Linked DNA regions of Oryctolagus cuniculus. The protein of the gene in region 1 purifies or fractionates together with the protein of each later gene. This does not show direct contact. Links are inferred from orthologs where the notes say so. Each region holds a gene or a part of one and is shown in the gene's direction. Other genes may lie near its edges.

Region 1 (4,077 bases):
ATGCGCCTGGACTCATCTGGGTCCCTTGGTCACCCACCGGCAGTCCAGTAGGGGCTGGCAGCGCCCAGCACACTCCTCAGCGTTTGCCACATCTTCCTGCCAAGGCCCAGGCACCACTGCATGGAGAAGGTGCTGCAGTTCTGTGCCCCGGAGCACTTGGAAGTCGTTCAGTGCTGACCGCTGCCCTGCAGGGTGGCCAACAGTGGTGGGCACAGGGCAGGTGGGAGCACATGTCATAGCGTGAGTCACGGTGTGTGTACTGGCATGACCCCACACTGTCCGTTCAGGGGATCAAAGATACAAGATGGGTCCTGTGTGCACTCTCAGGGCCAGCTCAGCGCCCCCTGCATAGGGTGGGAGAGGCAGGCCCAGACACAGTGGTTCCCAGTAGGCACCGGGCTCAGGTGTAACATGTGCACTCCGTGGCAGCACTGGGTGATGGGGCTTGCTCTATAAAGCTCGTCCCATTTCATCTCTTAAAGGAGAATGCTAAAGCTCAGAACCCTGGTGCCTCCGGCGGGCACCCAGCCTAGGCAGTCTCACTTTGTGTCTGGGCTGTCAGGAGCACAATGGCACCTGCTAGGTTAGAGGGGAGAGCAGGCTCAGGGGCGGTCTCTGCCTGCTGTGTGGGTGCCTCTGGTCCCAGCACTGCCTCAGTGCTGCAGCAGATGGAGGCCTCAGCGACACCGTGGCTGTGCGTTCCCAGGGCTTCCCAGCTCCCTGCAAGAAGTCAAGGACACCTGGCCATGCCCAGCCGGGAACTGACCTCGTGGTCAGGTTAGCGTGGGCCCGAGGCCAACCTCCTCCTGAATGCAGACAGGGATCGGGGAAGGGGGCACTCACCAGGGGCCCCTGAGCACCACGTCAGAAGCAGCAACAGTGGGAGCCACCTCATCCTGCCTGCTGGAGGCTGCACTGTGACCCACCACAGCCCCATCCGGGAAGTTGTGAAACCTGTCCCTTCGGGATTGGGTGGCTCGAGGCCCACGCCCCCACGGCCAGAGAGACCCTGTGGCAGGAGCCAGTAGGGCCCAGGCCTCAGGCTCCGTGAGTCAGATGCAGAAGCCTCATCCTGACACAGCTAGGCCCCTAAGAGGCCTCTCTATGTAGTGGGCAGGTATCAGGAAGTGAGGACACTTGAGGTGCCACAGACCAGGGGTGGACAAGCCTAGACTGCCAGAGAACCTGTGGACATGGCAGCTGCCAGAGGCCTGGGTTCCAGCCCCTGCCTGGTAACGTGAACATTTTCCGAGCCTCAGTTTTCCCCTGTGATGTGGGGAACATTGCCTGCCCCAACCGCAGCACGGCCACCCCCTTTTGGTGCCTTATCTGCCCCAGCTGTAGGCAAGTCAGGCCACGCCCCTGGCAGCCGAACCCAGGGAGGCCCACGCCACCTGCCAGAAGCCTCATCTTGCGAAGGTGAGTAAGGGCACGCGCTGGCCTTAAATAGGGGAGGGGGGTGACAGGCAGCGGAACTCCTGCTGCGGGGCCTTTCAGACGGGCTGGGGGACATCTGGGTCAGGTAGGAGTTGACAGGTGGTCTAGGGTCCCCGATGGGAAATCGCGTGTGGGCTAGGAGCGCCCCAGGGCACGCAGGGGTCAGAAGCAGGTGGACCCTCTCGGGAAGCCAACGCCAGGAAGACCCGGCAGGTGGCCACGGAACCGGGCTCCCCGGCGGAGGCCGGTCGCGGGCCGGTGCGCGTGCGCGGACGGCGGCGCGCGATTGGGTGCGCGGCTTGGCCCTGGACGGGCGCCGTAGCTGAGAGGCTGGGCGGATGTTGTGAGCCGGTCGCGGCGGCCGAGGCTGGGGGTGAGTGAGGGGAGGCCGGGCTCTGAGCGGGGCGGGTCCCCGTGGCTCCCCTCGCGGCCCAGGCATGTCCAGTGCCAGGGCGCCCGCCGCGCGTGGAATGGCGGCCTGTGGTGCGGGACTCCGGGCGGGTGCTGTCCTGGCAGGTCTTCTGGAGCTTGGGGCTAGACGGGGGCGACTTGGGGGAGCCGTGCGCTGCTGCCCTCGGCGTCCTTGGACTCCGAGACGGAGTCCTTTGGCGGGACTGGGCAGGATTGCCGTGGCAAGGAGTCCTCGGACAGGGGCAGGGTCCGCCTTTCACCTGGGTCCTCAGCGCCTGACAGCTGGAGTGGGTGGGTGGGTGGGGGGTGTCTGCAAGGTTTGCTGGTCAGGGAGTGACCGCGTCAGATCATTCCTACAGCTACTCTGGTGTGAGAGGAGGCGGGGCTCTAATCGTGGACGCCCGCCGAGGGTCCGCAGATGGGTGGCAGGGCGGGAGAATCACCCAGCAGGCAAGGGTGGTGCGGGGAGGCGAGGGTTCGTGAGGGTAGCAGAGGGCCTGTTTGGGGTGAGATAAGAGACTGGGCTAAGGCTGTGCCGGAGGGCCGAGCTCTAGAAGGGAGCGGCTAGAACTTTGTGTGATGGCAGAGATGCGCTCCAGCTGTGCTGTCCGGCATGGCAGCCATTAGCTACATGTGGTCGCTGAGCCCTTGAAGTGGGGCTAATTGAGCAACTGAATTTTTAATTTTGTTTAAAAGATTGGTTTACTTATTTGAAAGACAGAAAAGAGAGATCTTCCGTCCACTGGTTCACTCCCCAAATGGCCGAAACAGCTAGGGCTGGACCAGGCTGAAGCCAGAAGCTTCATCCAGGTCTCCCCCACGGGGCAGCAGGGACCCAAATGCTTGGGTCATCTTCCGCAGCTTTCCCAGGCGCATTAGCAGGGAACGGAACGGTAAGTGCAACTGCTGGATTCAAACCTGCACTCACACGGATGCCAGCATTGCAGGTGGTGGCTTGACCTGCTGTGCCACAAGGCTAGGCCCACGTTTTTAATTTTTAAAAAAGATTTATGTTTGAAGGCTGGTGCCGCGGCTCACTAGGCTAATCCTCCACCTGCAGTGCCGGCACACTGGGTTCTAGTCCTGGTTGGGGCGCTGGATTCTGTCCTGGTTGCCCCTCTTCCAGGCCAGCTCTCTGCTGTGGCCAGGGAGTGCAGTGGAGGATGGCCCAAGTGCTTGGGCCCTGCACCCCATGGGAGACCAGGAGAAGCACCTGGCTCCTGCCATCGGATCAGCATGGTGCGCCGGCCGCAGCGCACTGGCCGCGGCAGCCATTGGAGGGTGAACCAACGGCAAAGGAAGACCTTTCTCTCTGTCTCTCTCTCTCACTGTCCACTCTGCCTGTCAAAAAAAAAAAAAAAAAAAAAAGAGAGAGTAACCTGGTCTTGCACCTGTACTCTTATATGAGATACTTGCGTTGCGAGCAGCGGGTTAACGTGGTGTGCTACAGCAATGGCCCCGAATTTTTTTTTAAAGATTTATTTATTTATTTGAAAGAGTTAAAGAGAGTGACAGAGAGAGAGGGAGAGAGGTCTTCCATCTGCTGGTTCACTCCCCAAAGCCAGGAGCCTGGAGCTTCTTCTGGGTCTCCCACACAGGTGCAGGGGCCCAGCGACTTGGGGTATCTTCTGCTTTCCCAGGCCATAGCACAGAGCTGGGTTGGAAGTGGAGTAGCTGGGACTCAAACTGCTGCCCATGTGGGATGCCAGCACCGCAGGTGGTGGCTCTACCCGCTATGCCACAGCGCCAGCCCCAGCCCCAGCCCCAGCCCTGAATTTTTAATTTTTAAAACTTTAATTCGGGTTTAAATAACCACTGTGTTGGGCAACACAGCTGTAGGCCATAGGCCAGCACCAGGAACTTAATGCAGGTTCTGGAGCAGCTATAGCAAATGACACGTGAGGGCTTGACCGTGGTGGGAAGAACAATGAAGTCTGCAATGAGGGCTGAGCAGGCGTGGTGCGTGGATGGAGTGGGAAGTCGTATGTGTGAGTGGGAACGAGAAAACTGGTGGGACCGGGCCTGAGGAGAGGTCCTGACGTCAGCGGTGTACCTGGGCCTGTGGCTGAGGGTGGAGCCAGCAGCCGTGTCTGCACTTGCGGGAATGTGCTGTGGGGTTCTTTGTCCTGAGTGTGAGCTGGGCCCAGTGTAGCTTATGACAGACTTGGATACAGGGGCTCTGCCTAGGTCATCTTGCTTTGGTCTGATCTCCCCAGAGCTGAGACATTT
Region 2 (2,534 bases), on another chromosome or scaffold:
TGTGTTGGGCGGCGGCTGAGGGGTCCTGGGGTGGAGGCGTCTCCCGGGCGCAGGGCCGTGAGGGCCTGGCGGTGCTGGGACGGCGTCTCGCTCCCTTGCAGCATGTCCGTGCCGCAGGCCATGGAGTGGCTGATCGAGCACGCGGAAGACCCCACCATAGACGCGCCTCTGCCGGGCCAGGCCTCGCCCGGAGCTGCTGAAGGGGGCGCCGAGGACGAGGAGGCCAGAGACGAGCTGACGGAGGTCTTCCAGAGGATTCGGAGGAGAAGGGAGTTCCGGGCGGACGCTCGGGTGCGTGGGGCGGCGCCCGCGTGGCCGCCGCCGCCGTCCCCGGAGGCCGCGTTGTATCGGGAAGCTTGGGTGCGCTGCTGACGCCTGCTGAGCCCGCGAGCCGGGAGCCAGGGAGGGAGGTCAGACAGGCCGGGCCCCGCTGGCATGGCCACGTCCCTTGTGGGCATCCTCGCTGGGAGCCCGGGGGCTGAGCTGCCTCTGTGTGGTCAGGCAGCCTGCGCGTCCCGTCCTCCGCGTGCCCCTGAGCTGCACCTGTTGTGGGCGGGGCCCTTGAGCAGAGCTGCAGGGTCGTCCTGCGGGGCTGCCTGTCTTGTGAGGCGTCTGCAGGGGTCAGCGCCTGGCCAGGGCGGGTGACTGGAGCGCCCGTGGCCCTCAGCGCCCTCGCCGGCTCTGTCTCCGCAGGCCCCGTCGTTGATCAGGGCTCCGACCCCTCCCTGGCGTTTGTGATGGTCGGGAACGGTCAGGGCGGGAGTCTGTGCAGCCGCGGGGGGTGGGCAGCCTGCAGGCAGCCGCGTGCAAGCCAGAGCTGGGCAGTGGGCCTTGTTTTTCTTTCCTGTTTTCAAGGAGTTGTTTGTTTATTTGAAAAGCAGAGTTTTCAGAGGAGAGAGAGGGAGGGAGGGGAGAGAGGGGAGGGAGGGGAGAGAGAGAAGGAGGGGGAGGGGAGGGGGAGGGGGGGAAGGGAGAGAGGGAGGGGTCTTCCATCCCCTGGTTCACTCCCCAGTGACTGCAGCGGCCAGGGCTGGGCCAGAGCCAGGAGCGCCATCCGGGTCTCCCACATGGGTGCGGGTCCGGACCACTTGGGCCGTCTTCCGCTCTTTCCCAGGCCATCAGCTGGGAGCTGGAGCAGAGACATGGGATGCCGGTGTCGCAGGCGGCGGCTCCACCCTCTGTGCCAGGAGCCGGCCCCTGGATTTCTTTTAGGGGGGCACACGCGCCGACTTAGGTTTAGCAAAACGGATGTGCCTGTGGCCTGTGCGCGGCGAGTGGGAGGAGGGAGACGCACCACTGGGGAGGCGGCCTGTCTGCGGGAGAGGCCAGCTGGGGGCCTCTACCCCTCTTCCGGCAGTGCCCCAAGGTCCAGAGCTCCCCTTAAGGGGCAGTGCATGTCTCTCCTGCTCCTGGGAGGCGGTGGCAGGCACCTGCACGGCACAGGCCTCCCGCCCACGGCCGGGCAGGTTCTGGACGGTTTCTGCCGCCTCTGACCCTGCTGTGGCGTGCAGGTGGCTTCGCAGGGCGTGCGTCTCACCATGACCTCTGCCGAGGCCTTCGTGTGTCCCCGGGGGTCCTGTGGGACCCGAGGAGCCCGGTCTGCTCCGGCAGAGCTGAGCAGGCCCCAGCCCGGAGCCGGTGTCGGCCGTCCTGGGCCCTGAGGGCTGCGGAGAGCGGGCTGTCCCCGCGCCTGCCCACATCCGTCCCGGCCTTCCACGTCAGTGCCTGCCCGCCACCTGGGGGCGAGGGCCGCCTTCGCGTGTGTGGGGACGTTGGGCCCCACCCTCAGGCCCTGGCCCTTGGAGACCCCGGCCCGTGCTGTGTCTCCTCCGTGTCTGGCAGCCCGCCTGTCTCATCGCAGCCTGGCGGGGTCCCCGTGCCCTTGGTTGCGTGTGCTGCTCTGAACCCGGCGTGGTCCTCGTGGTGTGCCCCTGGCTACTGCCGTCTCCTGTCACCATCCGAACCTTCTGAGACAACCAGCTTTCACTCTTGCCTAGGGCCTACGCCTCTCGCGTTGAGTTGCCGGGAAAGGGGTCAGGCCTGAGGGTGGCAGCTCGGCCCTCCACCCTCTGGTTTGTGAGCCAGGGCGAGGCTGGAGATAGTGCAGTGAGGGTCACCCTGGCTCGGCCGAGGGGGCGGAGTGGACGCCTGCTGTCCCCCTGCCCCCCTGCCAGGGCACCGCCTCCTGGCCTGAGAGACGGGAGCAGGGTTGGCTTCGCGGAGGCTGGACCGTGACCTGGCAGGAGTCCCCGGCTGTGCTGGGCCCTGGGTGGAGACGCGCGTGTGGGGCCCGCTGGCGGAGGGCGAGGTGCCTGCTGCTCCTGACGCCCCGTGCCCCCCAGGCCGTGGTCTCCCTCATGGAGATGGGCTTCGATGAGAAGGAGGTGCTGGACGCCTTGCGCGTGAACAACAACCAGCAGAGTGCCGCCGTGAGTATGGGGGGGGGGCGCCCCGCCCTGGACCTGCCTGGTGCCCCCCGCCCCACCCCGCCCTGGACCTGCACAGTGCCCCCCCCCCCCGCCCTGGACCTGCAC

What was found. The genes of interacting proteins can lie anywhere in the genome.
Region 2: the proteins of RNF123 (region 1) and UBAC1 purify together in Homo sapiens (affinity purification with mass spectrometry; 7 studies listed by BioGRID and IntAct, counting the BioPlex papers as one, with this or other methods). This does not show direct contact. The link is inferred for Oryctolagus cuniculus from reciprocal best matches to the Homo sapiens genes RNF123 and UBAC1.

Annotation. Positions count from the first base shown.
Region 1 is NC_091441.1:99,575,487-99,579,563, reverse strand, and holds the start of RNF123 (E3 ubiquitin-protein ligase RNF123), read left to right. Parts: upstream 1-1,277; 5' UTR 1,278-1,419; intron 1,420-1,713; exon of another isoform or gene 1,714-1,810; intron 1,811-2,223; exon of another isoform or gene 2,224-2,741; intron 2,742-4,077. Other genes in the region: MST1 (hepatocyte growth factor-like protein), read right to left, coding at 38-185, 844-937. UniProt on the Homo sapiens protein: Catalytic subunit of the KPC complex that acts as E3 ubiquitin-protein ligase. Promotes the ubiquitination and proteasome-mediated degradation of CDKN1B which is the cyclin-dependent kinase inhibitor at the G0-G1 transition of the cell cycle.
Region 2 is NC_091432.1:236,908,174-236,910,707, forward strand, and holds part of UBAC1 (ubiquitin-associated domain-containing protein 1), read left to right. Parts: intron 1-101; coding exon 102-291; intron 292-2,342; coding exon 2,343-2,429; intron 2,430-2,534.